Linked DNA regions of Arabidopsis thaliana. The protein of the gene in region 1 interacts with the protein of each later gene in a biochemical or structural test. Each region holds a gene or a part of one and is shown on either strand. Other genes may lie near its edges.

Region 1 (18,381 bases):
AAAAAATGTTTGACAAACCAAAATACAATTGCAATCCCTTAAAATGAGCAAAATGCACCTAAATACATTTCTTATCAATTCACTAAATCTAATTTCTCCAAAATTTGAATTAGATTTCGACAAATATTTTTAAAAAAATTTGTTTGACAAACTAAAATACAATTGCAATCCCGTAAAATATTTATTTTAATTATATATTTAAATTAACGGTGTACCACTGGGTTTTTTTACGGGACGAGTTTGGCGGAACGGGTTTGAAAGAACGTTACTTAATAACAATTGTAAACTATAAAATATTTTTATTTTATAGATAGATATAATTTGCAAACTTTTATATATACTGATTTAAAAAAATAAATTATTTCTACGGTATAACGCGGGTTAAAATCTAATATTTAGATAATTTTGAATATCCAATATATATGTTTAATTGTTTATAGTAGTAATAATTTTTTTCTGCTATTGTTGTAATAAAAGAAATCTCTAAAACGTTTTAGTAGGAAAGAAAAAAAACGTTAAATGCATAGAAATAAAGTTGGGCAGTAAAAGGAAAACAACAAGACCTAATTAAGTTTGACATATATAACTCAGGCGGCTATTACATCTATAAATATGGGTAATATATCTATCTTGCTTCTACTCTCTCTTTTCACTTTTTCTCTGTGTCTATTTGTCTCTCCGTAAGAAACATTATGCCTTCATCTGATTCCACGATGATGAAGAAAGGAACAAAGCGCAAAATCGAAATAAAGAAACGAGAAACCAAAGAGCAACGAGCCGTGACTTGCTCTAAACGCCGTCAAACTGTTTTTTCCAAAGCCGCCGATCTCTGTCTTATCTCCGGTGCTAACATCGCCGTCTTCGTAACCTCTCCCTCCGATAGTTCCGATGTTGTCTATTCCTTCTCCGGTTACTCCTCTGCCTACGAAATCGCTGATTGTTACCTAAATCGCAAGCCTCCACCCAAGATTGTTAACCCGGCCGGATCCAAACTAGGATTTTGGTGGGAAGACCCTGATCTCTACCATTCGTGTGATGATCTCTCTGAGTTAAGCATTATCGAGGATCGTTTACAGAGAATGAAGAAGCATGTGATGGCTTGCCTTGAGAAGGAAGAAAAATCTCAACTTGTTTCTAGTTTCGACCAAAACCCTAATAGTACTTGTTCTCTCGACGTCGAGGATTGTGATGGATCTTCTTATTCGCAAATTGCTTCTACTTTTACTCCAAACTCTGTCAACGAGTATTGCAGCGATCAAACCTTTTCTTCTTTCCATGGCGATCAAAACCCTAACCTCTCGTCTCCGTCTTTTGATCAGGACTGTTACTCCTCTCTCTATCAGATCTGTGGAGAATCATCTTCACAAGTTGCTTCTTTTGATCAAAACCCTAGCTCCGAGATCCAAGGATTTGAAACAGAGGAAGAGATTAACCAAATCAATCTACTACTACAAGAAACACAAACAGAGGCCAATGTCAATTTGGATGATGAGATCTGCTTTTGGAATGATCTATCCAACGATGATGTGTTTGGTCTAAACAGCTACTTCGGTCTCGATAACACCAATGCAATGATCAACTTCGGAGATTCCGACTTTAGACGTCATGTCTGATATGATGTGGTTGTAATCTTCAGAACTTGTTCTGATTTTGTCTCATTGTAAACAGAGATTCTTGATCCAATTTAAGTTTTTGTAAACCTTTTTTCCTTTATTGTTTGATACTCTGATGTGAACCCTTTCGAAGTTGAAAGTAAATTGTTTGAATCAGTTTTGCAATTCCACTTACTAGTTTGTTGATGTTAAATTCAAGTTAGTGATTTGAATTTGGATTCTCAGAAAAGAAGAACACAGTTTTTGGAGCTTTTGCTTGTAATTTTACATGAGTTTTAGCCTTTAGCTGAACACTTTTTGATTCCTTAATGGTCATCTTGTTAGGTGATGTGTTTGAACTTTGAACAGAGTACTTGAGATTAATTTAAGATTATGTATGTAACGTAGATTAGATGAACATATTTATACCAACATTTTATTAAAAAAGTAACTATAATCATTTTTCGAATTAGTAATTAATTTTATAGTTTCTTTAAGGTAATCATATATTTTACAATTTGTATATTAAAATTAGCAGATCAAACTCTGTTTTTGATAGAGAATAAATAAACTTTGTTTTTGATAATCTTTTCCCTTAGAAGTAAGGTCGGTTATTTTGACATCTTTAAAAATTAATTGTATAATTCTTTTTAGAAATATACCATTTTAAGAAAATAAGAATAGTTTTTTTTTTAAAGGTTTTTTTTTAGTTTTTTGTGAAAATTATATTTTCACATGTTTTTTTTCCGTAACTTTTTAATAGAAAATCATATATTTATTTTCTTATATATATAGATCGTCGATTAAGAATCTCGAACCCTTATAGCAAATTCGTTGCTCCTCTTTTTTTCTTTCTCTAACGCAGCAGCTTTGCTTAAATCCTCTTAGGTATTTATTGAATCTTTCTCCGTTGTCAGTGGAACGTGGCTTCCAAGTATTAGTTTTTGACTAAGTATAGTTCTGACTTTGAGATGTTGAGTTGATTAAAGGGTTTCTCGTAATCTTAAAGATGCTCGTACTGTTTGAGACGTCAGGTGGTTTTGCACTCTTTAAAGTATTAGATGAAGGAAAGCTCTCTAATGTTGAGGTTATTTACCTTATTCATTCTCTTACTTTCATTGATCTTAACCTTGTCTATATGTGTCGTTTGTTTTTAATATTCTAAGTATGTCAAATTTGTTCTTGTAGGATTTGGGTACTGAGTTCTACTCTGCAGAGTCAGCTCGAAGGATGGTTAAGCTAAAAGCTTTTCATAAGTTTGACAACACATCTGAACTCCAAGCAAGGGTCTACACAAGTTTTTGAAAAATAACTGTGATGATGGTGAAATCTTAGCTGTGGCTGATCCAAAGCTTGGAGATATCATCACAGAGAAACTGGTGTGTATTTTGTTATGATCTTTTACATATTTCTGTATATATATGGCTTGTGTCTTACGGATTTGCTTCTCTCCTCTAGGACATAGAATGTGTTCACAACGATGCTGTTATGGAGCTGTTACGAGGTGTGAGAAGTCAGTTAACCGAACTTTTATCCGGATTGGATGATAATGATTTAGCTCCAGTGAGCTTGGAATTGTCTCACATCCTTGCTAGATATAAACTAAAAATCACCTCTGACAAGGTAGTCATTGAGTTCTCTGTGTTTTGTTTTACCCTTGCTTATGTTACTTTTCCCCTCTCATACTTAAAATGTTTTGTTAGGTGGAGACCATGATAATCCTATCTATCAGTCTGCTTGATGATCTTGACAAAGAGCTTAACACTTACACTACGAGCGTTTGTGAATTGTACGGTTTGCATTTTCCCGAGCTTGCTAATATTGTACAGGACAATATCTTATATGCCAAGGTGGTTAAACTAATGGGGAATCGGATTAATGCTGCAACGCTAGACTTCTCTGAGGTAAAGCCTTATTTACCATTCTCCTTGACTTTTTGTTTCCATTAAACTATAGTTTTGTCTTTATGAAACATCTTTCTGTGTCCAATGTCATCTCAGATATTGGCTGATGAAGTTGAAGCAGAACTAAAAGAGGCTTCTATGGTGTCTACGAGAACTGAAGTCAGTGACCTTGATTTGATGCACATCCAAGAACTCTGTGACCAAGTTCTTTCAATCGCTGAGGACAAAACTCTGCTTTGTGACGACTTGAAGAACAAAATGAACAAAATTGCACCAAATCTAACTGCCCTTGTCGGGGAGCTAGTCGGTGCTCGCTTAATATCTCATTGTGGTAGTTTATGGAACCTCTCAAAGCTACCATGGAGCACAATTCAGATTCTTGGAGCTGAAAAGACCCTATATAAAGCCCTTAAGACCAAACAAGCCACTCCAAAGTATGGTTTAATCTACCACGCACCTTTGGTTAGGCAAGCTGCACCAGAGAACAAGGGTAAAATCGCACGTTCACTAGCTGCAAAATCTGCTCTTGCTATCCGGTGTGATGCTTTTGGTAATGGCCAAGACAACACTATGGGAGTCGAAAGCCGCTTAAAGGTATTCTTCTCTCCCGCCCGATCCTATCTACATTTTTCTTCCTTCTTTGATGGTCTAATTTTTTTCGACAGCTTGAAGCGCGCTTGAGAAATCTTGAAGGAGGAGATTTAGGAGCATGCGAAGAAGAAGAAGAAGTTAATGACAAAGATACAAAGAAGGAGGCTGATGATGAGGAAGAACCCAAAACTGAGGAGTGTTCGAAGAAGAGGAAGAAAGAAGCAGAACTTGAAACCGTGGAAGATCCCGCAAAGAAGAGCAAACAAGAGGGTGTAACAGGATTATTACTCCTGATGCTTTTAATTTCTCTAATCTATTTCTTTTCTGTTAACCAGTTGCTATGGTAAGCCATTAGCTCAGATATACAAAATTATGCGTGAGTAACACGTCTAGTTTCTTGACGTTTTGTTAGGATCATGTTGATACTCTTTCAAAGTCATTCAATTCAAAAACGGTTTCCCTTGTCATTTGGTTCGGTAGACTTGACAAAAAAAATAATCAGTTAAAGATGTGGTTAAGACCAACAAATATGTTCACAAGAACGTAAACATCAAGGTTCTGTCGCTTTAGACTTGATTTACAAGTGGATTTAAACATGATTAATTCACAAGCTAAACATCCATAAGAGTTGGATAAAAAAAAAATCCAATTCCATAAATAAATGAAAGAGAAAAGTGGATCAAAAACAAAATCAAATTTGTAAAAAGGTTATGTGGCTTTGAATTCCATAACCTTTGAATCACTCAATCGAACCTATTGAAATTGCGATGCTACTAAGAGCCGGACCATAACACATGAACATGAAACATTACAGTGGCCCCCATTCTAAAGGGGCCTCAAAGAAATTTTATTTTAGTTATATATACATATATTGATTTTTGATAATGGGAGAAAATAGTTAGTTTTATACATATAAATCCTAAATAACTGTGTGGTCCAAAATATTTGAGAATATTATTGTACTTTTGTTTTTAACTCCAGAATTTTGTTTAAATTAGTTTCTATTTACTCTATAATTTTTAAGATAAGAGTACTTTGTTTTCGTAATTTAAATAGGGCCCCGGATTTCATTGATCCGGCTTTAGGCTCTAGAAAATGCCTTATATGTATGTTGAACAAAAATGCAGAAACCTTGAGATATCCATGATTGATGTAGAGAAAGCTCTGATGCAAAAAGTGTCACGCTCAATATTTACCTTTTTTGTGTGTTTTAATCTTATATCTTTACTCTATTAAGACCAGAACACTCTGTTTGCTTGAATAACAAACAATTTAACAATAACCAAATATTTTGTCATTTCGACATATGTAAGGAACGTGAGTTGGTTTATACTCTATAAGGAAAAGAGTTACCAATGAACAATAATTTCCTAATTAAAAATTAGTAAACGTTAAAAGTATTTTTTTGTCATTCCGACATGGCCTCGTTTTTTTCCTCGAAAATTTAGAAATAATCATATTATTTTTACTTACAAAATACATATATATATATATATATAGATATATATAACTATAGTTAGAACAACTATATTGTCGTGAATAGGTAAATTTGGGAATCGTGATGATATATAATTTGGATCCGTAGATTGTAGGTGATGCATTTTTGTACCTAATCTTTAATTCCAAAATAAGTGGATAGCTCTATATGAAATTTGGCCCTACTTTATTTGACATGACCTTTTAAATATTTGAAAAGCCATGAGACAATTTATTTAATTTTCATAACCGTGATAATAAAAACAATTTGTTTGTAAGAACAATTACATAACAACATTTATCTAAATTATGAGTCTCGTCGGCGGTATGTAAAATATGTTAATATTATCCTTTTTCTATGTAATAGAATAATAGATTATCTTTCTTGGTTGGCACTAAATTGCACGTTAAATACTTGAAAACTTTGTATGTTGAAATAGTAATCCAATTTTAACGAAACTTTTTATTTTGTAAAGATTTTGATGGGCTTTTTAAAACAATTTCTACGACGTGGACAGACTTTGGAGTTTGTATGATTAATTAGATTCAGATCCTCACGTAGATTGAATAAACAATAACTCAATAATTGATCCTTCTCAAATTTTAATAAAATAAAAACATTTTTTAATAATAAAATAACAACATTACAAAATACCAAAATATGTAGGGTAATAGTTTTTGCTAATATAGTTATTATATTATTACTAAAATATAAATTCACATGTTAATATTTGTTGTTGACAAAAACAAAAACAATGATATTACAAAAAAACAAATAGGGTGATTAAACGCTAGAAGATCCGTAACCATTTTGATGACAAAAAGATATGGTACTAAGATGAACACGTTTTTGAGAATATTCAAAACAAATTCATTTCCGAAAGATTATCAATTTTCAAGCATACAGTATGATCTGGTAAACTATAAATGGTAGAACCACGATAATTAACTAGTCGATTCTATATGTTATGACATAGACTTAGCTAGGAGCATATCCGGCAGACCGGCACTAATCTAATGATTTCATGAGTTGTTATTATCTAAACTAATTAACAATTAATAGAATGAAATATAGTTTTATATTTAAGTTTTTTTTTTTTTTTTTTTTTTTTTCGGAATATCAGGAGGTTCTGGGCCGAAACCCGTAATCCCTTCAGGCCTGAAACCACAACATGTAATATTAGTTTCGTCCCAAACATCACTCGAACTAACGACCTCTAAGTTTCGCCTAGGATCTTTACCAATTGAGGTAACAACGCTTGGTCAAGTTTAAATCATTGTTGCTTTCTGTGAGATTTTGATCCCTATAACCTAATTTATCTTATGAGAAATTAACCTTTTTTGATAAAGGATAAGGAAAATAGTAACCTTGTATAAAAAAATTCATTGCCATTTTCATATATATATATATATATATATATATATCCTAAAATGTATATCTCTAATAAAATTAGAAGAAATGATACCAAAAATAAAGGTGAAATCATGATAAAATTTTGTTTTTTTTTGTTTTGGTTCATTGAGTTTGCCATTAACGCTTTTTTTTTATAAATAATTTCGTCTACACAAATTCATCCATATAATATTTTCTTTTACTGCATCAGAGTTTCACTATGTATTTAGGTTTTTTATGAATTTTAAAAAAGTTCAGCATCAAGGTGAAGAAAATTCCAAAAAAATAAATAAAACGGTGACCCAAAAAAAACTTGTTGTCTTCAAAACCAAAAGTACTCGACAAATCAAATAGATAAATCATGAATCTTAGTACAGTCAGGTTTTATCGTCTACGATAAGTTCCACAATAAATCCAAACACTAAACTGTTCAGATCTCAGATAGTAACTTTAAATCAACGGCTATAAATTCGCCATTTGTACTTTCATTTACACAACAGAGAATAATACATACACTCTATCTCTCTCCTATTCGTAACTTATATTTCTCTCTCTACTGTGTTTAGAAATTGGAATCTTCTCTCTTCTCTATCTCCCTCTCTCTTAAAAAGGGACCGTACACGTCTCTCTCTATTTCCAGTAAAAAATCGAAATTTCGTATAATTTCCTCAGTCCCGTAATTTTCTCCTTTTTTTTCTTCCCCAATTCCTTCAATTTTCGAATTCGCCTCTCTGTTTCGTTCCTCGTAGACGAAGAAGAAGAAGAATCTCAGGTTTTAGCTTTCGAAGCTTCCAAAATTTTGAATTTTGATCTTCTGGGCTCTTTTGTAAATCAGACTGAAGATATTTAGATTACCCAGAAGTTGTTCAAGGTAAAGCAATTCAGATCAGATCCACCAATTTTTTTTTTTTTTTTCATTTGAAGTTTTTGTGTTTGTTGTTTGTTGTTGGGAGATATTTGAAATCTGGGTTATTAAAGTTCCGACCTAATTTCATATTGTGCTATTACCAAAAATAGGAAATTTTGAGAATTTGGTTTTATGTTGTCATCATTTAATAATATTAGCCTTTTGTGGGATTTGTGCTTTTTGTTGTTTGTATCAAAAGTCTCAGATTTGGATTCACTTTTTGTGTGTTTTTTATAGTCAAAGCTGATTCATGCTATACATTACACAGCTTCACTGTTTAGTCTCAGCTCTGTTTTCTTGAAAACAGGAATGGTTTCAGTGGACAGCACGGAAAGATAAAAGAGACTTTTTTTTCCAGATTTTGCTGATCCAAAATCTGAATAGTTGTTCATGTTCTTGGATCAAATCTGGAAAGAGGAAGTTTGTTGGATCTAGAAGAAGATAACAATGTTGGATTCTCTAGTGTCGAAACTGCCTTCGTTATCGACATCTGATCACGCTTCTGTGGTTGCGTTGAATCTCTTTGTTGCACTTCTTTGTGCTTGTATTGTTCTTGGTCATCTTTTGGAAGAGAATAGATGGATGAACGAATCCATCACCGCCTTGTTGATTGTAAGTTCACTCAATTGAAAAGAGTAATTACTGAGTTCCAACTTGAATGACATTTGAGCTATTTGGTTGCAGGGGCTAGGCACTGGTGTTACCATTTTGTTGATTAGTAAAGGAAAAAGCTCGCATCTTCTCGTCTTTAGTGAAGATCTTTTCTTCATATATCTTTTGCCACCCATTATATTCAATGCAGGGTCAGTCTTTTTTTTTACATCCATTTGAGCCTTTTCCTCTATGTTGGGATATATCTTTTAATGTAGGACTTAGTTTGGTAGGGTCTCATGCTATATGATACGTTTAGTTGCACGGGTTTTACCTACAAAAGTTACATAAAACAGATTGAAAGAAAAAACTTAGTTTTGAAAAGTATGCATTATGTGATTCTAGGTGATAAAGTTAGTACAACGCTTTAAAGATGTTGATTAGTAAGCTTAAGCTCTACTTCTATAAATACCTGTCATACATCAACTTTTTCTAGTACTTGTGATTGTTATAAAGAAAAGAGGGCATGATGTCTTTTTTTGAAGTAGTTAGATTTATACACGTGCAAGTAAGTGTGGTCCTGGATTTGTCTTTGTCATGGATCTTTCTCAGATTTGTTGTTGTCTATTTCAGGTTTCAAGTAAAAAAGAAGCAGTTTTTCCGCAATTTCGTGACTATTATGCTTTTTGGTGCTGTTGGGACTATTATTTCTTGCACAATCATATCTCTAGGTAGGTTACTTCGCTTTACGATTGGCTGAAACACCGCTGAATGCGGCTTTTTGGATTAGGTCGAGATAGTTTTGTATATCTCTACTGATTTTCTGGTGGTTCTTGAAACAGGTGTAACACAGTTCTTTAAGAAGTTGGACATTGGAACCTTTGACTTGGGTGATTATCTTGGTAAGGCCTGAACTAATGGCTTCTTTTTGGTTCCTATTGCTTTACTTAATCGGGAGACTTGATTTGTTTTTGGTGTTTGAATCTCAGCTATTGGTGCCATATTTGCTGCAACAGATTCAGTATGTACACTGCAGGTAATGTGTTTTCTCCAACATGACTTAAATTACTTACAAACCCTGAAACATAGTGGACCGAAAGTTTCTGTTCCTGTTGTGTTGTGATATAGGTTCTGAATCAAGACGAGACACCTTTGCTTTACAGTCTTGTATTCGGAGAGGGTGTTGTGAATGATGCAACGTCAGTTGTGGTCTTCAACGCGATTCAGAGCTTTGATCTCACTCACCTAAACCACGAAGCTGCTTTTCATCTTCTTGGAAACTTCTTGTATTTGTTTCTCCTAAGTACCTTGCTTGGTGCTGCAGTAAGTCCATTGTTTTCTTCCCTGCCATTCTTTCTTGTAGCTGCTATATGCACGCTCTGGTGTTCACATCTTTGTTATTCATCTTGCAGACCGGTCTGATAAGTGCGTATGTTATCAAGAAGCTATACTTTGGAAGGTACATATTTAACGTCATATATGTGACTTGTTTTCTTTAAGTTGTTTCCTGTTTGGTCTAACGTAGATGGCCTCACATTAATTGTCACAGGCACTCAACTGACCGAGAGGTTGCCCTTATGATGCTTATGGCGTATCTTTCTTATATGCTTGCTGAGGTTAGATTCTTTTAAATAACACGAACATATTCATTCAGTTGCATTCAAACACAAATTATATTGATGTTATATTAATTTGGTTGCAGCTTTTCGACTTGAGCGGTATCCTCACTGTGTTTTTCTGTGGTATTGTGATGTCCCATTACACATGGCACAATGTAACGGAGAGCTCAAGAATAACAACAAAGTATGCAAACTTTAGTTTCTCCGCCTTTTGCTGAGATTAACACTTTCTACCTCCCAATGATTATCTTATGATTTTTTTCGATGAAACAGGCATACCTTTGCAACTTTGTCATTTCTTGCGGAGACATTTATTTTCTTGTATGTTGGAATGGATGCCTTGGACATTGACAAGTGGAGATCCGTGAGTGACACACCGGGAACATCGATCGCAGTGAGCTCAATCCTAATGGGTCTGGTCATGGTTGGAAGAGCAGCGTTCGTCTTTCCGTTATCGTTTCTATCTAACTTAGCCAAGAAGAATCAAAGCGAGAAAATCAACTTTAACATGCAGGTATGTATCATTCTACTTGGTACTAATAGATTCAATAATTCTTCTGGATTTCAGCTATTTATATCTATCATTTTTTCCCATTCTTTAGGTTGTGATTTGGTGGTCTGGTCTCATGAGAGGTGCTGTATCTATGGCTCTTGCATACAACAAGGTATAAAAAGAATGTCTTTAAATACTCTCTATGAAGCTTCAAATGACACAAATCATCATTTAACACTTGTTTCTATTGTAGTTTACAAGGGCCGGGCACACAGATGTACGCGGGAATGCAATCATGATCACGAGTACGATAACTGTCTGTCTTTTTAGCACAGTGGTAAGAAATCTCTGGATGATCAAATGAGTTACATAATATTTCTTAATTGAATTGGACATTTGGTTAATAGATTCTCTTGAACCTTGTTTTCAGGTGTTTGGTATGCTGACCAAACCACTCATAAGCTACCTATTACCGCACCAGAACGCCACCACGAGCATGTTATCTGATGACAACACCCCAAAATCCATACATATCCCTTTGTTGGACCAAGACTCGTTCATTGAGCCTTCAGGGAACCACAATGTGCCTCGGCCTGACAGTATACGTGGCTTCTTGACACGGCCCACTCGAACCGTGCATTACTACTGGAGACAATTTGATGACTCCTTCATGCGACCCGTCTTTGGAGGTCGTGGCTTTGTACCCTTTGTTCCAGGTTCTCCAACTGAGAGAAACCCTCCTGATCTTAGTAAGGCTTGAGGGTAACGTGGAAGAAAAGCTTTGATTTTTTTTGGTAGAAAAGGGTGATTCAAATTATGCTTTTGTGTAAATTATCCATTTGTAATATTGTTTGTGAGGACAGAAATCTGTCCTAACGTTTTGAGAGCAGAAAGCAAAACATGGCAACTTTGAAGTGTTTGATTGATGTATGTAATTATATTCATATTTGTTTTGTTGTAACACAAACTACACATTTGTTTATGTTTTGAATTTGGTTTTTGCTTCGAACTTGAGGATCGGATTGGTACGGTTTGGTTCGATTTCGGACAAAAATATTAATAAAGAATTATTTCTTTATGTCAAAACAAAAATTTAGTGAACCTAATGGCTAATGATATCAAAATTTGGTAGGTCTTGAAACTTATAATCTAACTAGATTTTAACCCGCGGTATACCGCGGGAACAATTTATTTTTTAAAGTTAGTATATATAAAAGTTTACAAATTGTATCTATTTATAAAATAATTTTATTTTATAGTTTACAAATGTTATTAAGTAACATCCTGCCAAACCCGTCCTGTAAAAAAGAAAACCATTTATTTTATTAATGTTGATCTTATTTATGATATGTTTATGAATCATTGTCTAAATATTTTGTAATTTTGTAGTAATTAAATGCTATCAGATTATATCTCTTCGCTTTGATGATTATAATCGAATTGTTATAGTTATGGAGAAAAGCAATATCAAAAATGATAATTTTGTAGTAATTAAATGATATTAAATATTTTAGAAGTATTATTTTAGTAAATAATCGTGTAGTTAATGTGGAGAGATTTTGGGAAGATTGTTAAATGTCAAATATTTAATTCGAAGATTTTCTTTTTAATTATCAAAAACAAACATTAAAATTCAGTGGCAGCCATTGTAAATAAGTCTCAACTACAAGATTTATTTCAAAAAATGGCTGCAAAAATGTATATATAGATAAGAAACGATAGTCGGTTTTGATAGGTATAAGATTAGCAAATATATTAGTTAGCTTAAATTAGTTAAAGAATACAAATTGAAAAGGTATATTACATTATTCGAATATAGTATCAAAACTTATATAACACAGAGATTTGATAATTTTTTAATTGTTGAATACTTTTTTGTGCTAATTTTTATGTGATTAAGATTTAATTGATTTCGTATATAAAATATTAAATTAACTTATTTGTTTATAATTTGGTAACAGATAGATATTTGAATATTCAGTATATTTTGCTTCAGTTTAGGAAATCTTTGATGATCCGTCTTTAAATCCAATAAGCCCTATAATCTAGATATTAAGCTGCAGTATACCGCAGGTAGGCTTATATTTTAGTTAAACTAAAATCTTTTATCGTAAAGATGATTTTAAAATATATGATATTATTTTATTTTATTTTATATGTATAGTAACTGTGAGTTCATGTATATGTTTTGTTGATATTATCTATATTGTTTAGTGTTTAAGATTATACACTTGTAGTTTGATTATTGTTAATTTAAGAGTTTCACCTGTAGTATTCCATCTTGTATTAATATCGATCTAAACCCGTCAATTTTAGGATTTTCAAGCTTTTATTAAAAATTGAATCACATCTAATATGTTATTAATTATTGTTGTATATAAGATTATAAATTTTCAATATAATATGTATGGAATTGAATATAAATATTTCTAATTATGACCCGTTACTCAGTAGAAAGTTTTCTTAAATCTATTTTTCACCCGTTATAATATTTTTTCATGTATTGAACAGTTTATATTTGTTTTTAAAAATTCAAATTGTGGCATATGCGAAATAACTCTAATTATTTTTTTATAATGATGATATTATTTTCCCGCAAAAATAAAATCATATAAAGATGAGAAGTGAACTATAATAATTAATAAAAAATTAATATGATAATTTAGATATCAGATATAGTTTGTTGATTTTAATTTGTTATTTTTTTGGAAATTAATAATGTATTTCGTTTTTTTAATTAAATCAAATTAATTAAAATTTAGATATCAAATGTTATATGTTGATTTTGATTGGTTATTATTTTTGGAAAATAATAATTTATTTCGTTTTTTAAATTTAATTAATTAAATTTAATTAATTAATTTAGTATTTGACTTTTTTATCCTTAAAAAGATAAATTAATTTACTCTTTAAAATTTTATTTCTAATGGCATACCTATGTAATTACTTACAAAAATTAAGGTTACATTTAAAATGTACTTCCCAAATAATATAGTAGGATATATTTGTTGCAAGGGAGACTACCATATTAAATTGTGAAATTTATTTCATTGTTCTAAATTTTAAAGAATAAGTGAACCAATTTCTTGAGTGTTTTAGTTTTGTCAAAAGAAATATTAAGTGAACCTAATGCAATAAAAGTTTGGTAGGTCTTGAAATTTATTTTTAATAGAATAATTGTTAGTTGCCAAGGAGAAAGCCATATTAACTTTTATGTTTTTTTTTGGTGATTAGTCGACGAGAGAAAATGACGTGAATTGAAATTGGAATACCTCGACTTGGAAGTTATGAGAGTTATCAAATATATTGTCATCTTTTGTACAATGATGGTGTAATTATATGTTCTAGAGGAAAAAAAATGTTTGCTATTTCATCTTATTTCATTAATAATATATATGTTATAAGTTAAACCTCAACCATACAAGCTCTATTTTCATGTTATTTTTTTTTGTCATCATATGTAAAATTCGAATAACAAAACCTTCGATTTTTTTTCTAAAGTTCTTTTAAACAATTTTATATTCTCTTGAATGAGAGTTTGCAAAAACATAGCAAAATCTTTTCTAATCTGATATGAGAAAAACGTAAACCATAATAAAGAGGATTCATGAGAGATCATTATTAGTAGCGGCAAAATATGATGTCGCCAATATTGTAACATCAATAGCAACAATAGAGAAAATACATTTTTATTTCTTTCAAAATCTCATATTCTTGGTATCAAAATTTTCTTACTTTTTTTCTTTTCTTTGATTTATTATCCCCTAAATTTTCTCAACAAATCTTTTATTTATTCTTCTCTCTCTTTCGTGATCTCTATCTCTTTGTCTTTCTTCATCTTTTTCGTTCACCTCTCTAAACTATCTCAATGCTTCTTTGATTCCATTGTCGGTTTCCTTGTACTCGTCAATTTCATGTTTTTTTTTCTATCAATACATGTGAAGTTTGAATAACAAAATCTTCGAAGATATTTGTCAAATTCTTCTACATCATTTAATAATTGTCTTGAATGCAAAACATATCAAAATCTTTTCTAGTCTGATAAACAATAATAAAAGAGATTCATTAGAGATCATTATTATCATCTGCAAAATATGATGTCGCCAATATTGCAACATCAATAACCAAAATTATGATTGTTGTTCGCATGACGATATGATTCAATACAACGATGCAAAAATTGTTAGTGTCGTTGGACTTAGTCATTAGACTGAGTCTTAGTAGTGGGAATAAGATGCTTGATTGTAGGAGTAATTGAGTTGTTGTTTGTTTCATCGTGTCAAAGTCCTCCGAGAAAGTAGGAGGCAGTTGTATTTGAGTTTTGGCTATTTAACGCCTCACAAATAATGAGAAAAGCAGAGTTGCAGTCTCACCATTCAGTTCTATATTCTCTGTTATTAACAAAAATCTCATCTTTTGTATCAATTTTTTTTTAATATTTTATTTTCTATGTTATCTCCAACCCTTCGAATCAAACAATGTCAATCCCTCCGCCTCCGCCCCTTTTTGGAACTTAATGCATCATTTTTATCATATGATATAAGTTTGTTGATGTATACCTGAAAAGTAATATCTTTTAAAGATTTAGGAAAATTGCTAATTTCGCATGTTTGGTTTATCATATGAATTCTTTTGTTTCCGGTGTAATCCGGATTATATATATTCTCATCTTTGAGATCAATAAATTTCGATTCACAGTAGGATCCTTCTATCGGTTTCATCCGGTTCTCCTCTCGCTTTAGCGGAATTCGATCTTACTCCATTTTCGTTCTCACCGGCTTTTCTTCAAAGATTTCTCTGTTTTCTCCAACTGATCGAGGAGTAATATCTTCATCGCTTCCTTTGCTCTAGACGCAAGAGCAACTTGGATTCAGATCTACATCAAGATGGGTATAGACGGTGGTGGAGCTTCCCCGGATTTGGTTTTTGACAGAAATTTTTTGAAGCTATGATGATCTCTCAATCCGGTAGATTCGATGCTTTTTTGGGTTGGATTCGAGATCGGACAGAAGGCAGGCCGATACACATCGATCCAGGATTGATTAGCGGCGGCTAATTGAAGATTTGGCGATGTCCGGCGAGCTCTTGACGGCGGTGCTACAATCCTCGACACGTAGTTAGGCGGAGACACGTCCTATACACGTGTTGTTATTTTGTTAATCATAATTTGTGTTTAATTATGGTTTAAATGGGCCGTTTTTATTTTCGTTGTATCCACTAGACTAACCTTCTGTACTACCTTTTGGGCTTTACTTAATGAAAATTTGGTCGACAAAAAAAAAAAAAAAAAAAAGCATATTTAGTTGGGCTAACACGTGATCAGCGAATCAGCCCTACAATAGCCCAAATATGTACCCAGTCATTAGATTAATGATCTCTCAAAACGGTGTCGTTTCAAACTGGACCACCTTATAAATACGGAAGAATTTCTATTCTGCCATGATTCGAAAAAAAAAATTCTATTCTGCCACCCAAAAAAAAAGAATTTCTTTTTGATTTATTTTTAAATACCAAAACAGAGAGAGATTACCAAATAACCTTATGTTTTCAGATTATTTACATAACCCAACCGCAGATCCACGGGTTGAACCGGATCCAACCCATTCTAAATGGATTTTCCCCAAAATTAAAATTTTTTAACCTAAGTAAAAAAATTGATTTCTCACTTCCGTCGTCGACTCCGCTCCCTCCGCACCAAACGCGTTCCGTCTCCAGCGATTTCAAAATCCTAACATCGTCTTTTTCTTTTCTCCGGCGACTCCACACTCCACAACGAGCCCCTCTCTTTCTCATTTCCGAGTAATTCACCGCCGTTACCTGGATCCCGTTACCTAACCGAACGTCGCGACTCCACACAACCGTTTTAGTTCCGCCGTCAAAACCGAACGTCGCGACTCCACACATCCGTTACAGTTCCGTTGCAGTTCCGTCGTCGTTCCAAACCGCCGGCGTTCCAAATTGTAAGTGTAGATTGGAACGGTTTTTGATTTTTGATTTGGTTCGGTTTTTGATTTGAAACATTAGAATTGGTTTTCGTTGGGTTGATTTGAACGGTTTCCTTGATTGTTGAGTGTTTTTGCAAGGTAATCATGGGTCGTGTAAGGTTAGTCACTCCTAGTTCGAGTGAAAGTGAAGACAGGAGGGTCACGATCATCCGTGAAGCGGATATGAACCGTGAAGAAGTTGCAGCCGAGGAAAACAAATTTGAAGACGAAAACTGTGAACAAGAGCCTCCGGAAAACCTTAACGAACCGGAAGAAGAAAAGATTTCTGAGGTATATACAAATTTATGAAAATTTTGTGTGAATATTGATGTAGTGTTTAGGGACAACTAGAAAACAATGAGTACAAGTTAATAGTATAGGTCTGTGAAATTGGTGCATGGATATACGTGATTAATCATACATTGGGTTGCATTAGAAAATTGAATTCTGAGAAAAGTTGATAATGTTGTTCTGAGATAACTAGTACAAGTAGTACAGCGAAATATTAATTTTATGGTTGTGTATGAATTTTCAGGAAATTGATGATGATGAACCAATGCCATCTCACGGGATGGAAGAAAACCCTCAAGAAGAGGAAAAATAAAGGGAAGAAGAAGAAGAATCTGAGGTAAATGGTTATTTCTGTAAATTGTGTTTGAATATTGAAAGTATTGTGTAGGGACAACTAGAAAACAATGAGTACAACTTAATAGTATTGGTTTGTTTGATTGGTGCATGCATGGATTTATACGTGATCAATCATACATTGATTTGCATTAGAAAATTGGATTCTGAGAAAAGTTTATAATGTTGGTATGAGATAACGAAAAATATTAATTTTATGGTTGTGTATGAATTTTCAGGAAATTGATGATGATGAACCAATGTCATCTCATGGGATGGAAGAAAACCCTCAAGAAGAGGAAAAAGAAAGGGAAGAAGAAAACCCTGAGGTAACATTAATTTCTGAAGATTTTGTTTGAATATCCATTGAAAGTAGTGTATAGGGACAACTAGAAAACACTTAGGACAACTTAATAGTATAGTTTCAACTTATGTGATTGGTGCATGGATTTATACGTTAACGTGATCATACATTGGTTTGTTTGATTGGTGCATTAATTTAATTGTATGATTGGTGCATGAATTTAATACGTATAGTTTCAATTCTGAGAAAGTTGATAATGTTGTTATGAGATAACTAGTACAAGTAGTACAGCAGAATATTAATTGTATGTTTGTGTATGAAATTTCAGGAACTTGATGATGAAGAACAACCTATGCAGCCAGAGAGGATGTTCTTTAGTCCAAGCGAATACGTGAAGACGTGTAAGATAGGGACGAGATGCACTGTGCAGCAGATAGTGAAGTATTTGGAGGAGTTTAAAGAAGATTTGCCATGGTTCAAGGCGCATCCACAGTTTAGGCATGTATTCCACATGCCTGAGGAGAAAAACCACATGACCCAAGGCTTGTGGATGCTTTTGCTTCGCACAGCACAGACAGAGATGGATAGGGAGTGCTGGTTTGTGGTTAATGGAGTGCCTATTAGGTACTCCATTAAAGAGCATGCGTTGTTATGTGGTTTCGATTGTCATGATTACCCGGAGGAGTTGCAGCCGAGTATGAAGATCGTGGATGCAGATTTGAAGTTTGCCAAAAAGATCTTTAAGAAGGTATCTGGGATTAAGATCGTTGATGTTGAGAAAAAGTTGGATGAATTGAAGAAATGTGGAGAAAAGAAGAAGACGGATAGGAAGAAGTTGGCTATCTTGCTTTTTTTGTGCAAGGTGATCGCGGCCAAGTCAAAGGCTGATGGAAACATTGACAA
Region 2 (15,443 bases), on another chromosome or scaffold:
GACTGAGAGCAACATCATACCTTGCTACAGAGGCCAATCTTCAAATTAGGGCAATGAAACGTCGATGAGAGAATAGCGACTGACTGAGACTGGAAGAGACGGAGTGCGGAATTTATTGGTATTTTGGTGATTTTTATCGATAAAATTTAATTAATTATTCTAATGTGATTTGACGTGTTATACTGTTTGGTTTTTGTATACATGTGATTATACTTTTATTTCAATCCCAACATGAAAATATTATGCAACTGAAAAAGTAAAACCCACTCTAAACGACTTGCTCTAACCATCATGTAAACCAAGTTAAGAAAGTTACCAACGACTTCCTTTCACCATTTACTGTGACCTCCTCGTATGAAGGAAGCTTCATGTTCACCACTTTTCCTGATAACTGCTTGATGCAACAACAACAAGATTTACTCAAATGTTTTATAATTTGATATCGGCAAGATCTAATGAAACCAACAAGTGATCAGATGCAAAGAGTGTTAAATGCACACAAGACTGAGTCAGAGGATGAAAATCAGTAACCCTTAAGCAATACGTAATTCAGAGTCTTGAAAATTAACCAAAAGCAATCAGAAAGTTTCCAAGGACTAAAGCAAAATAGGTGTGGCAATCAGTCTAGCCGAGCCGAGGATAGTGTGATTAAAAGATACACATAGATAACTAAAACAAAACAAGGATCGGATCTGATAAGTCAAATTCCTAGGGGGACTTTGTTCAAAGACTTCATTGTTCATCCCACTTGTCACACGGCTCCAAGAGTTGGACATTGCAACTATATATATCCTTGTACTCTTCTATCATGTCCAAGATAAGATCATCCACTTGAGGGTCGTTTCCAAACGGTGAAGGATCATACTCTTCTCTATAGATCTTCATCTCCTTCAAACATGGAAAGTTGTCCAAGAAATGCTCTATCAGGTGCATCTCTTTCATTGTTACTCTAAACTCTTTAATCTCTACCACTTTTACTGGACAAGATTTGAGCGAACGGCCTTTATCCTTCCGGAAAATGCAGTCACAAGCATCTCCACATTTATCTGTCACATGGTGCACGAGACCCTGAAAGCAGAAACGAGACAATAAGGTTACTATAAGAATGAACTGCATGTTTTGTCCAAGTAGTTAGTTTCATGGTTTATAGTTCCACCTCAAAGGTCAGGGTTTCTAGATGTGGACAATTCCTTAGAAGAGCAGGCACTGCTTGCCATCCTCTGTCGTAGTCACTCTTAATGCCTAACGTTTTGACGTTGTTGAACACCGGCATCGATTCACAGCACATTGAAAGCACCTGAAACAAGAAACAAAACGCAGCTAAAATCATCTTGCAATCAATACATTACAACTAGACCAGAAAGAAGAAAATGGAAAACTAACCTCGAGTGTATCAGAATGCAAGTGAAGTTGCTGAACATTTTGTATGCCCTTCATGAGCTTCACCACATTGCCAAATCGGCGAACAACATCATCCTCTGACAAATAGTTAGTTGGGGCTCGCATTCGGGCGATTTGATCGTCATCTACTCCAAGGATGATTCGAGCCTTGAATAAACTTTTCATATTAACCAACGGATAGTCCTCAGCAACTAAATCAGAGTAGGCTAGGGAAAGCAGATTTGGAGTATCAAAAGAAACGCTCTTTGGATTTTTAGAGGTTCTGGAACCGGTGGAGCTAAGAAGTAGCTGATTAGTGAGGGTTGCACACGACACGGTTACATGAGAATCAATCCACTCCATACCTACCAACCGTAATTCCTCAATCACAGGGAAACAAGGAAGAAGCTTCTGAAGCTTATCATCACAAAAAACCATCGCAGAGCTTATATCAAGACTTTGAAGCCTTGGTAAGAAAGTGCCTTCAGCTCCAGGCCACCAATGAATACAACCAAATTCAGATTTTAACCTGAGATTGACGAGTGTCTCACTGACGAACAACTCTCGAGGCAGAAGATAACCATCTTCGAAGTCGATGATAAGTTCAAGGTCCGCAACACCACGCTGCAGCACTTTACATAACCAACGATTCAGACGAGCTGGAGGAACACCGCTTTCACACCTGAGGGAGAACCTACGAATGGGACCATTTCCCTGCAAAGACAATACTCTTTCCACAAAATCCAAGAAGCTATCCAGAATTTCTTCTCTTTCCCACTTAGTCTCTTCCGGATGAAGATACTCAGAGTCATCCAAGTCGAGATTAGGGACAAGCGTGAACAGATTCCGCCACTTCTTAGACAGAACAGATGTCAAAGCAGACTCCTTTGTGGTAAGGAAGGACAGTATATGACAACGAACATCGTCTGGTAAACTGCTCACTAGATCCATCTTCTCGCTAAGCAAATCAAAACAGTTCCACTGGTACTACAGCGGTTGATTCAAACCTAACACTTATGACTTAACAACAACAACAACAACGCGAGTAGGAAATTGATTTTGAGGCTGTGACACCGAAAACACCAACAACATTGAAAATGCAAATTTTCGCACAACTCTTAACACTACAAATTAGGGCAACTCCTCAATGAGTCGAAGAAGAGAGGGACGGAGTGCGTAATTTAGGGGAATTTGGAGATATTTTGTCAATTAAAATATTGATATAATTTTAAGTCTTAACGATTAATCACTTAGATAAATTAATAACACCAAAACAGAGCAGCGAAATATACAGGTTACACCCTAAATATATTTCAATCCCACAAGGCTGCTAATTTTAGTTTACTTACATAACAACTGTTGATGCATATTCCCAAAGACTAAACACCAATCCAAATCCACTAAGAAAAACAAAACACATCTCACAAGTGAATGAGCTCATTGTTTTTAGACGATTTCTGCTTCTTCTGATCATTTCCAGAGGCAGATGAAGAATGACCCAAACTATTCTCACCAAATATTATCTCATCCAGATCATTCATCATCATCTCATCGCTGCTGCTTCCGCGAGAGTCTTTAGGTTTAGTAGCAACAAGAATCATATGGCTGGCTCTGTTGCAGCTAATTAGAAGAGACTGAAAATAGATATATGCTCATTGAGCTTATTAGAAGAGACTGAAAATGCAAAATAGCTCAATGAGCTTTATTGAAATGTAAAGAAGAGAGAAAGGTGAAAGCTTTAGGTTGTCTTCAAGAGCAAAATAGATTTGGATTTGATTTCATACAATAGAGAAGAGAGAAATAGCTAACAAGAGAGAAACTGATTCCAGGTCCAAACTAGAGAAAAATGAACTCAAAATAGATCAGATCAAATAGTAGTACCATCAAAGAAGAAGAATAAATAGAGTATACCTTGGAGAAGATTACTGCCTGCCATTTCTGATAAAGGACGATTCCTCTGTCTCTGTGGTATGTGGATATGTGATGAATGAATGACGCAAACAAGAATTATGGAGAGAGAGAAAGGAAGAAGAAGAAGAAGATTTTGTGTTTATAAAATGGTTTTGACATTCCCCGAAGATGTTAAGGACATATGAACTGCTCGGACCAAGATAACTCCAGATCATCTTCAGGGTCTCAGATCCATCTTCTCGCTAAGCAAATCAACAGTTCCACTGGTACTAGAGCGATTGATTCAAACCTAACACTTATGACTTAAGAACAACAACGCGAGTAGGAAACTGATTTTGAGACTGTGACACAGAGGTTTTAATTGAGAAGAAAAATAATCTACGAGGAGGTCAATGCCGTACGACAAGTGAGAAGACGCGTTAACTTTAAAGGAATATTTGGACTCTTTCTTTTTTTTTTATCTCCATGGCATGAAGAAACCACGAGTCTTGGATTTGTTGGTTTCAACTTTTTTTATACAAAAACAATTTCCTTTGCTTTATGAAAAAAAACAATAATAAGGAAAGTAAATATGATTTCGAAAATGCCAGAAAGTAATTGTTTTTAAAAATGAAAATGGGCCGTTCAACATCTCAAAGGCCCAAATTTTGCCGATATAAAAAAGATTGGGAACAACACTTTTAAACATATTAAGGAGAGACCTATTCGTGTGGCCAAACACCAGAATATCGCCAAAATCGTTGAAACTTGAACGAAGAAACAGACTTGTCACAGCTCAGCCGCCGGAAGACTTTAAGGTAACGAATCTTCCATTAACCGTCCCTCGTAGATTTATTTCTACAATTGATAATGCTTATTAGTTTGTTGTCTACTTAAATTCCCTATTGGTGAAACCCCAGAATCGTCAAGTAGCTTTTTTATCGATTCAATAGCTCCAACACAGCTTTTGTATGTTTAAAACTAGCTTATGTTTTTTACTTGATTCCGAGAGAAACAAGTACTAATGCACTAGTTTCTTAATTCACTTTTAGATTCCCAAAATTTGTTACTATGTTATTTTCTTATCAGAACACTGATTTTAGTTACCACATTGATTCAACATTGTTTGAGTTAATGATAGTTGTGAATTTTGTTTGCTAATTCTTGTAGGAGGTATGGATTTGGTGTGGTTATTAAGTGTTTTACTTGTTGGAGCTGCACTTGGATATTACATCAGCACTTTACGACAAACCCGCCGAATCTTTCTCTCCTCCAAATCTGTCGCCATAGATGCAGGATCCAGCGGGAATAAGAAAACCAAGTCCAAGGAACCCCTCGAGATAGAGAAACTCGCTGATTTTCGCAAAAATTTCAAAATGGTACCTAGCCTCACTCTGCCTCCTTGTCTTTGTATTGCACCAAGATACCAGTAGCTGATATAAATGCTTCTTGTTGTTGTTGTTGTTGTCTGTGTAGGTTTTGGTTGTGAGGAATGATCTTAAAATGGGTAAAGGGAAGATTGCAGCTCAATGCAGGTGATTATCAATCCTCTTTCAGTTTTCAATTGCATTTCTTGAATTCAATTAACAACTCCTTTTCTCTTGTTTTGCATATTATATGTAGTCATGCAACTTTAGGTTTATACAAGAAACTCCTTCAACGGGCGCCAAAAGCCTTGAACAGGTAGGTATGCGGTATGCCACACCATCTCATACTCTACTTCAATTCTATGTTTCTTTTTCAGGCTACGGATGGAATTAACAGTTACTTATTGCTCTTGCAGATGGGAATATTGTGCTCAGCCAAAAGTTGTTGTCAAAATTGAAAGTGAGGAAGAGATGCTAGTTTTGCAAGTGAGTTTACTGAACATGTGCTACGTAAATATACTTGCCCTTTGCAAGATTGCAGTTTCCTAGGTATTGAATAAGAGAAGAAGAAAAAGTCATAAGATCCTCCTATGTGAAGAGTGTAACAATCTTGTTGATACCGACAGGAAAGAGCAAAGACCCTGAAACTGCCAACCCATATCACCATTGATGCGGGAAAAACACAGATCGCTCCAAGTGAGTTTCTATAGTTACTGTTATTTGGAATCCTCCTGCTTAACCCTAGTCTGACATTAATAGAAAAACTTAATATGCCTACTTGTTCTCTTCTTTTCCAGATTCAAGGACAGTAATGGCTATTCTTGGTAAGTTATTATCATCTATGAGAAGAGATGAGTTATATCACAAATTGTAGTTACAAGTGCAATTGTTTAATAAGTCTATTACTTGTGCAGGACCTGTTGATAATGTTGATGAAGTAACAGGTGGACTAAAGCTTATGTAATAACTCTTGGATTCGACATTACCAACACTCTGGCAGAAAGGAGAGCATGCTAATTGGCTCCCAAGTTTTCGACATTTCTCGGTGACAAATCTGTTTTCCCTTCTTCTGAGTAGATAACTCCATTTTACATGGATTTGTACAATTGTCTTACTAGAAGATAATCATATGACAACATTTGCTGATTATCCACAACATTTTAAAGATGAAGTTTTGATGCTCTCCTTTGTTTTGTCTATTGTATCTATAAACTGAAGCGTTTAAGCTACGAATTGATTTTGACTGATTTTGTCCTAAGGAGAGTCTAATTCCTGCGCAACAGCTAATCAAAATATACAGCATAAGTGTTTCACTTCTTGCTATAGTTAGTGGTCGTTTGCTAAAATAGTATTGATGTCACTGTATATCGTGCTACCAATTACTATATATTTCCGGGAATACTGCTTGTAATATCCATTTCAAATGTTTGTTTATTCTGAGTTCTAGCATTTAGCATAGTCAATGAATGCGTATACACTCAAAGATTGTTAGTTGTTAGCAACATGTGGGCTAAATCTATGTAACTCGTGCAGGACTGGTTGAAGAAGACATGTGGGCTAAATCTATGTAATAACTCTTGGATTCACAAATCATTTGACATATCTCGGTGACAAATTTGTTTTCCCTTCTCCTTAACCATTATTGGGGATCGTTTTCGAATTTACATGAATTTGTGCAATTGTCTTACTAGAAGATCATAATCATACGATATTTGCTGATTATCCCCCATACATATAAAGATAAAGAGTCAGTTTTGATGCTTTCTTTTGTTTTGCATATTGAGAGACCTTTATCTCCATAAACTAAAGTGGCTAAAGCGACGGGTGGAGAAGTGACTCACACGCATAGCAAAGTTTTCTTGCCCTAAAACCAACAATGATAGCTTTCTCTTCAAGCTATCAAAATTTCATCAAAGAATAATATGAAACAATAAATAACACACATTTTCCATGGAATCGCACCTACACACATATACTTCCAAATGTCTTTGATTTGAGGATGAAGCCAAAAAAACAAAACACAAGTATTTCAAACTATGTATATATATACCTTTCTTTCTTCAACCCCAAGCATTATCAAACGCAGCTGAAGTAATCGCTTGAACAAACTCTTGGAAATCAATACAACCATCGCCGTCTCGATCAGCTTCTTTGATCATTCCCGTTAACTCCTCCGCCGTCAACGCGTGACCTAGCTTCGCCATCGAATGGGCTAACTCCGCCGCCGTTATGTAACCGTTTCCATCGCGGTCAAACATTCTAAAGATGGCTTTAAGCTGATCATCCGTGTAAGGACACTTGACCAGATCTGGCTCGACGAGGGCGACGAACTCGGAGAACTCGACCAGTCCGTTGTTATTCCGATCTGCTTTCTGGATCAATGTGTCGAGTTGGTCTTGACTCGGCTTTAGACCGAGAGATCTTAGAAGTGAGCCTAACTCGAGCTCCGTCAAACTTCCATCCTTGTTCTGGTCAAATGATCGGAATATCTCCCGGAGCTCCGCTAGTTGTTCGTCGCCTAGTTTCGCCGGCGCCGGTTTGCCTCCGTCGCAGCTCATCTCGAATCTGATTTTGAATACTGTCAAGCTTCGATTTCGATGAACAACATTTTTCTTTTTAGAGTTGATTTGTTTCTTCTTGACAAGTCAACGATGACAGGTAATGGATTACAAATTTCAAACGAGTAAAGATTTTGATTTTCTTATTAATGAGCAAGAGAATAAAAATTTTATTTTATTTAAATCAAATAAATGATTGTGGATGGAATACGAAATTTTTTAAATTAAATTATTAATTGAACCAATTATTGGAACGGTCAAAGGTTGTTCGGTGGAGGGAAAACAGTCGTGCTAAGCGTTAATTCACCGGAACTGGTTTGTAGAAATGGATGCCAAAAGATTTCTTGACAATAGAAAAATGTTATAGCTTTGATTCGTATTTTAAAGAAGATAATATTTTCGACATTTGTTAGCTATATATGAATCGAGTGTTCGACATACGTTATATATTGCATGCATGAATGTTCAAATTTTCTTTCAGAGTAACTATTTTATCCTTAATATATGGTCTTTATCAATTCTTTTAACAAATTACATGTTTATTAATGTTCATATCCTCTTTTAAAGCAATATATCCATGAGATATCTGTGAAATTTATCATATGTAAAATATTTATATAGTTTTCAGAAATAGATATATATCATATAAGCTATATAAATTACAACTAATGGTAATATCATATGTAATGTTGTATGTAATGTTAAAAGCAAGTTTAAGATTGATACAAACGACAAATGGATCTGGTTCGGTTGCAGTTTCAGAGCTTAACATATGCATGTACATACACTTTGATTCCGTGTAATCAATGACTTGATCCTTTTAAACCACTTTGTTACTATATCCACACGACACACGTTCTTCCTTTTTACTCTCTCTTTAGATGATTTCCTTTAGACGAAATTGGAACATTAGTTTTACTCAAGAAACTAAAAGTGAAGGACTGATAAAAAAACACTAAAGCAGGTAAGATTTGGCCACAGGTTAACCAAAATGCCAATTTTTGCACTTAATGTAACAAAAATAAACAAGGATCTCTAAAGACATACACAAGAACAGAAGAATATCTCTCACTTTGAAGCATCTCCTTTTCATTCTGTCAGTAACAAACAAAGATATTGCAATGCAAAAATCTTTTAAGGCAATATTTCTCTTATTTTATTATACATTGACAAGAATTAGAGTTACAACAGTTTGATACATACATACATAGTACCTCCTTTGGTCATATTCTTTTTGTTGTTGCGGCTCCACAAAATCTTAACCCATCTGCGATAACAAGACAAAGACGAGGGGTTTGGTTTTGCACAAAATTTAAATTTTGGAAAGTGTGTGGTTTATAACATATCAATATAGATAGACTGATTACCTCGTGAGGAAAGATTGTGGCCTGTGGCAATCTCATTTTCTGAGAGCATCTGATGTGAGAAGTCCCATCTGTTCAGTAAGATGGTTCATTTGTTGATTCTTGCTCCACACATTACTCAGGGTTGATTGTAACTCTAGTTGCTCCAATATCAGTTCATTTTCCACTGATCCTGAGATTAACTCATCTGTCTCACCAATCACTGGGCTCTCACCAATGAACTGTTCCCAAAAAGAATCTTGGACTTCAGGAAGCAACTCATTTAAGGTATCAGCTTCTAGTTCGAGTGCGCCATCCAAAACAGCCATTATTGGATCCAAACACTCTCCATTATCTGTCTCGCATCCAACAAGATCCGAACTTGAGCTCCCAGAAGCTGCTGCTCCTTGCGTTGGAGGTAAGAGATCACCTTGAGAAAAAGGCAAATTGGTCTCCATGACTTGATTTGTTTCACAAGGCTCGTGGTACTTCATTGCAGGATAGAAGCCTGCAGGAATGGATGAAACATCTGCCAATGTAACTTCAGGTGATCCATTTGAGGAGCTCCCATTGTCTGAAATGTTAGAATTTGGAACATCGCCCAAAAGAAAGCTACCATTATTGCTTGAGAGAGATTCATGGCTAGGTGCATTACTCATCTGCTGTATCTGTTGAAGCATAGTGTTTGTTGCATCGTTCATCGATGACTGATATCTCACAATCTGGCGGCTAAGACCATTAACCCCATGACTGCCAGAATTCATCTGGTCCTCAACAGGTAGCCTCCTCTTTTTGTTGCTTTCAGAAATGTGTTGGTTTGCTTCATTACTCTGCTGAGAAAATTGGTTTAAGAAACCTGGACTTTGGACAGCCTTTGCTAGAAAGGACATCATCTGTTGCTGCCTCTGCTCCATCACATGAACTTTCTGCCCCACATTCTGCAGATGATGTTCGGTAACTTGTTGTTGCTGCCTCAACCTTACAAGTTCCTGCATAAGGACGTTCTTATCGCGCTGAAGTCTTTCCACTTCCTCTTCGAGTCCAAATTTGCCCACTTCAACGCACGCACCCACAGATGAGTGCTGAACTTGAGGTTGTTGTGGAGGCTGCACTTGTGCAGGTTTTCGCCGGACAATACTCTTTAGTATTTGCTTTTGGCCTCTTAAAAAGCCCTCGTTTGCAAACTCCCAGCGGTCTGGATCAACTTTTCTAAAACCCTGAAAAAAAGAAGCATGGAGAATGGAACAGTCATCAACCGCAAGAAGTTACTTGGATTCCGTTGCAATAGGAAGCCAACATAGAAGATTTGTATAAACATAAAGACCATTAAATACGTTAATAACAACTATTCTAGATATGGTATGATACGTTCACTGGGTCTAGCTGCAGCACCAAACTACCATGGTCCAAGGAAACTAATACAGTTGTTAGTGTATCGGCATGTACCTGGACGGACAAATACAAACGAATGGAAAGCTAACATGGGACAACTGATAGAAATTTTGTTTTGTGACTTAAGAGGCCAGAAATGGAAGTGCTGAATCAACCAATCGTCAGACACATATGAGCACATGTCCAAATAAGCCTGCAAAGTTCGTGGAACCTTTTGGTAAGTAAATAAGAACAGGGGAGGAACAAGCTACGCAAGAGTATACACTTGTTAGTTTTGCTTGACCTAAGAAAATTCATTCCAGCCTCACAGACACGGATGCAAGCTCAGATACTTAGAAAAACAAAAACATATATGCCTGCAGTTCACAGGGTATACATGTACAAAAAACAACTGAAGAACAATACAAATATGTGAAATTATCTTGCACGAGTTTGTCAGAACCCAAAAAGATCCAATCTTAACAGTTAGTGCAACTAAAATCAACATTAACACAACCTACTAGACGTGCATAGTTCAACCACCAGCGTCAACAACTATATAGGAACATCAATCAGTAGCATCATACTATACACTAAATAGGAGTCGACTTCTCAAAGCACCTTCTTGCAACCTTAAATCATTCGTGAGTTTTATCAATAACTAATGCTTAATTCAACCACAAAAAAAACAAGAGAGTAAAATAAAAATGAAGCACATAAAGTAAGATTCCCTAAAATCGAACTACGAAATTGAAGAAAATCGAATCAATGAAGAGAAAAACAAATAAAAAAGAATCGATCGAAGTTCACTCACATAAGTATTGAGCTGTCTGACGAAGCTGGAGAAATTGTTGTGCTTGAAATACTTTGGTAGAAACTGTTTGGCGAACTCAGGCACGTTCCAAACCACGAAGCTGTTGTTTCCGCTGCTCCAAGACACCACGTCGTCCGTCAATGGATCGTCAACCATATCGTACGTTTTGCTCAGAAAAGGCGGAATGGAGCTCATCACCGCCGTCGAAGATTTCGCCGTCGCTACAGATTCGCAAACCGTTCCCATAAATCAAAATCGCAATTGATTCCGGTGTACCGTCTTCTTCAACAATTCCGAGATTCACTACTCCGGTCTTCGCAAACCTTACAGAGATTTATATTCGAAGATCATCTCTTAGCGACGAAGAGAAGAAGAAAGAAGCTCTCTCTCTCTCTGTCTACACTTATATTAAACTCTGGAGATAGCTTTTACCTCTGCTCTTTTATTTATACACTCTGATTTTTTTAATTCCAGAAAGCGGTGGAGTTTCGCAGAGTGATATAACGTGTCGTAATCTCTACCGTTGATCTGATTACCTCTGCAACGTCCGATTATTAAATTAAAAAATTAGTTTTGTTGTTAAGATAAGAAATACCACGTGGGCTGGACTAACGTGCTTGGCCTTTTTAAAAAAACATTAATTAACGTACGTACCTGGTCTTTTTCTGATTAACGTATCTGGTCCTAAGCTCTTTTTTTCATACGTGGCACTGGACTCGCGTTACTTTTCTCAATTTTTTCCATTTGCGTTTCACGTTTTTTTTTGGATAATTTTCTGCTACTCAAAGTTTTGTTGTTACGAAAACGTTGAGTCTCTCTCTCTCTGCTTGCCGCCGAGACGGCCAATAATTTTTTTTTTAAGACAATATTTATAAATCTGAAATAAACATCGATCCAGATTTGTGGATTATAGAAATCTTATCAAATTTTATAAGATTATTTCTTTCTATGATATCTAACGGCTCATCATGTAAGACTAATCTAAATTTGTAACGAAGAAAAGTGGAAAACACATAACAAGTGTATTGGCCCGCCTAATCGAGTTAATAGGGCAAGGAAATTCTCCTTTACTGCCTAACTCTTCTCCAGTTTGATTTTTATTTTTTGTTGTGGAGGGGAATATTTTAAGGTTCTCTTACCATAGTACAGACTTATAACGAATAATAATAAAAAGCAGATTATGAATCGAAAGTACGAATTTTTTCAAATCCATTTTTTTCAGATAGAAAAAACAGTACGAATTTTTATTGTTAAAAATGGTTATATTATTGAAAATGGAACAATTTTTCATTTAAGAGAATCGAATATTCCATTCATAAATAGTACATTAGTACTCTCCTTCTAAAAGAGGCACGTGATTGGTTGTCGCAAAGCACACGAGCCAAGATGCTTCACTTGGAACGAGAAAAAGCCCCAAGAGACAGAGGAGAGGGCAAAGCAAGCAAGCACCTTTTTCTTTCCCATGCTCGAAACTCGGTTCTTGATTGATTCCTTCGCCGAAGATTAACCAATCAAATCCAAACAAACCCACTCAGATCCAGATTCGTTAAATCTATCCGGATCCATTTACTTCAACGGGTCGGATCCAGTGATCTGGCACTTCACAATGGGAAGTGGCTTTTCTGGTTCTTCGGATACCAAACAATGTCGCGATTTCCTCGAAGATTCATAGATGATTCATCAATGGAAGATGCAGGAATCTCTCTTTGCCCAAGTATTCACTATAGACCTATAAACCCTAATGATCTAGATCGTTTGGAGCAAATCCATCGCGATATCTTCCCCATCAAGTATGCATCCATCTACTTGGATTTTCCTATGTTGGTGTCTTGTGAAAAGATTTCTAAAGTATTGATTTTTGTTTTGTCAGGTATGAGTCTGAGTTTTTCCAGAGTGTTGTGAACGGAGTTGATATCGTCTCATGGGCTGCTGTTGATCGGAGCCGGCCTGATGATCACTCTGATGAACTTATTGGTTTTGTTACTGCCAAATTTGTGCTTGCCAAAGATAGCGAGGTTAGTTTTCATTCTATGAATTCGTCTTTTTGTAATTCGAACAATAATGATCTTTCAGGTCCTGTAATCACCTTGAATGTTGAACTAGTTCATAATGCTTATGGTTTTTGGTTCGTCTGTGATCATGTACACTAAATAAAAGTTATTTCACTTGTCAAAAATCTTTAGAACAGCGGCTTGTAATAATGTCTGAATTATGATTGAATAATCTGTTTTGGGAGCTCTGGTAATGCAATTGAGTCTAGTGTTGTTTTTATCTTCTTATTATCTATCTTCATCAGCTGGCAGATGGTTTCTGTGTCTTGCACAGATAGATGATCTTATACATTACGATTCCTCGAAAGGAGAGGAGACTTTGATATACATCTTGACACTCGGAGTTGTAGAAACATACAGAAACCGTGGAATCGGTACATGACTCTTATAATACTAATAAGTATCTGAAACATGTTCTATATATTGCTTGGTTTTATAATTTCTGATGTTTCTGCAACTTTTTTTAACTCTCAGCAATGTCACTTATTAGTGAGGTAATTAAATATGCTTCCGGTTTATCTGTGTGTCGCGGAGTTTACCTTCATGTGATTGCACACAACAATGCTGCGATCTGTTTGTACAAAAGATTGATGTTCAGATGCGTGCGGAGATTACATGGATTTTATCTAATCAATCGACATCATTTTGATGCGTTCTTGTTTGTCTACTTCATCAACGGTTCTCGAACTCCTTGCTCACCCTTGTAAGGAGATTTACTCACAGACAAAACAAGTCTTTGATTCTCTTGTACTCTATAATGGTTTACAACAATTTACTGTAATTTGCAGAGAGGTGGCGATGTTTGTTGTGAATTATATGAAGAGTGGTATCAAGTCAGTGGCATCTAAGCTGGCTAACAAGGATGAGAAAGGTTTGAAATGGCTGTTTTGCAAAGACACGGATTGTGTCTAACCCTCGCAAACCAAACCGAAGCTAGGGTCATCATCAGCGTACGAATTCATTTAACTTAAAACTATATTTCCCATTCATTTGATTTCTCATTGTGAACTCTGTAATGAAAAGGTAAATAGTCACCGTTAATGTACTGTTTTTTGGGTTTTATACGCTGATCATTACGTGTTTATAAGGTGTAAGGAAGTTCTTATGAGTTTTTCACCACCCTTCTTAAAATAGTTAGCTTGGTTGAAAATAGCTCTTTTGCTTCATTGGCAATTATCCAAAAACAAAATCACCAGCTTAGGATGTCAAAAAATAGGTTAAACGATAATTTTATTTACTTCCCTCAAAAAAGCCTGAGAAAATCCCCATCAAAGGCCAAAAGAACAGAAAAAAGTTTTTTTCACGCGGTGGCAATGGCAATGGCGTCTGCTTCTTCCTCCTCCTCCTCCATATCCGTCATCATTTTCCTCCTCTTGGCGCCTCTCTGCCTTTCACGTGAGCCACCTTCACAAATCCCAAACGGAACCCTAGATCTCTCTTTACTATGGTACGGCCAATTCACGCCTACTCAAAAGGAGAGGGTTCACGATTTCATAGAATCGCTTAACTTCGACGCCAAGGAAGGTCTTGACCCGAAGGTATCGGCGTGGTGGAAAGTGGTGGAGAGTTACCAAGAGAGGTTTGAGGTGAAGGATATTTACCGACAGAAGAAGAGTAACAGAACCGTAGCTCCGAGGATTAAGGTGAAGGTTGTCCGGAGTTATGTGGATGAGAAGATGAAGTATGGAAAGGAATTGACAATGGGGAACGGTGAGAAACTTGTTGAGACGGCTATCGGAAATATGTCGAAAGTGGTTCCCGTGGTATTACTTTCGGCGCAAGTTAGGGCTCATGGCGTAGGGTTTTGTGACGGAACTTGCCAACATAACGCCCTAGCCAAAATTAAAGGTTTGATTTTCTCTTCGTTTTTTTTTTCCGTCTACATCTCTCAGATTTAAACCTGGATTAATATGGCACCGTGAGAGATCGACACTAGTACAATAAATATATTTTAAGTATGTCTTGATTTTCTCCTCGTTAAATTGCATAACATTAATCTATTTTACCCTTGAGAAAAAGATTATTGGTTCTACATAATTTTGTAGCTTTTTTAGTTTGTTCTAAAAGATTGTAGTATTAGACAACAAACAAAAGAAAAATTTGACGTCATTACGTAAATCCCACGCAGGTCAAAAAGAACCACGACGGTACATAATGGTAAGCAACCCGGAGGTGGAATGTCCCGGAGAGTGCGCTTGGCCTTTCCACACGGCCGATAAGGGTCCACGTGGCATGACCTATCAACCGGCAAGTGGAGAAGTCGGAGCTGACGCACTGGTTATTCAGCTAGCCACCGGTTTAGCCGATTTGGCCACCAATCCAGATCTAACCAAGTCCTTATTCAAATCTGAGACGACACCGTACAACGATGACGTAAAGAAAAACCATGAATCTTCGTCAATGTATATTGTGGACCCTGCAACCAAGTGCACTCGGGTTTTTGGATCCGGAGCTTTTCCAGGTTTCACTGGTAGAATTCGGGTTGACCCGATTACTGGTGGAGCCTTTAATTCACACGGAATCAACCACTTGAAATTCTTGATTCCTTCTATTTGGGACCCTAAGACCAAATCTTGCTGGACTCCTATGTAAACCGTTATTATTACGACATGTTACACAGTTTTTACCCTTCATGAACTTTTAAGGTTGTTTTGTTATTGGAAATATTC

What was found.
Region 2: the proteins of NHX1 (region 1) and AT3G03000 form a complex in vitro, tested with the Arabidopsis thaliana proteins (one study listed by BioGRID).

Annotation. Positions count from the first base shown.
Region 1 is NC_003076.8:9,545,941-9,564,321, forward strand, and holds NHX1 (Na+/H+ exchanger 1), read left to right. Parts: upstream 1-7,359; 5' UTR 7,360-7,827; intron 7,828-8,170; 5' UTR 8,171-8,310; coding exon 8,311-8,475; intron 8,476-8,547; coding exon 8,548-8,666; intron 8,667-9,087; coding exon 9,088-9,185; intron 9,186-9,296; coding exon 9,297-9,356; intron 9,357-9,443; coding exon 9,444-9,490; intron 9,491-9,582; coding exon 9,583-9,777; intron 9,778-9,866; coding exon 9,867-9,913; intron 9,914-10,003; coding exon 10,004-10,070; intron 10,071-10,156; coding exon 10,157-10,257; intron 10,258-10,346; coding exon 10,347-10,587; intron 10,588-10,675; coding exon 10,676-10,738; intron 10,739-10,819; coding exon 10,820-10,903; intron 10,904-10,996; coding exon 10,997-11,326; 3' UTR 11,327-11,654; downstream 11,655-18,381. Other genes in the region: AGL39 (AGAMOUS-like 39), read left to right, coding at 693-1,613; AT5G27140 (NOP56-like pre RNA processing ribonucleoprotein), read left to right, coding at 2,602-2,679, 2,781-2,825, 2,879-2,971, 3,051-3,215, 3,296-3,496, 3,593-4,090, 4,162-4,434. UniProt on the Arabidopsis thaliana protein: Acts in low affinity electroneutral exchange of protons for cations such as Na(+) or K(+) across membranes. Can also exchange Li(+) and Cs(+) with a lower affinity.
Region 2 is NC_003074.8:669,140-684,582, reverse strand, and holds AT3G03000 (EF hand calcium-binding protein family), read right to left. Parts: upstream 7,344-15,443; 5' UTR 7,196-7,343; coding exon 6,698-7,195; 3' UTR 6,403-6,697; downstream 1-6,402. Other genes in the region: AT3G03030 (F-box/RNI-like superfamily protein), read right to left, coding at 733-1,068, 1,157-1,297, 1,384-2,331; AT3G03020 (uncharacterized protein), read right to left, coding at 3,303-3,506; AT3G03010 (Peptidyl-tRNA hydrolase II (PTH2) family protein), read left to right, coding at 4,446-4,649, 4,747-4,805, 4,894-4,953, 5,054-5,123, 5,264-5,333, 5,435-5,461, 5,552-5,601; HSFA1E (heat shock transcription factor A1E), read right to left, coding at 8,595-9,755, 10,724-10,969; MCC1 (MEIOTIC CONTROL OF CROSSOVERS1), read left to right, coding at 12,368-12,513, 12,594-12,738, 13,049-13,148, 13,249-13,477, 13,563-13,686; EXL6 (EXORDIUM like 6), read left to right, coding at 14,088-14,622, 14,903-15,366; AT3G02975 (uncharacterized protein), read right to left, coding at 15,057-15,358, 15,402-15,408. UniProt on the Arabidopsis thaliana protein: Potential calcium sensor that modulates ion selectivity of NHX1.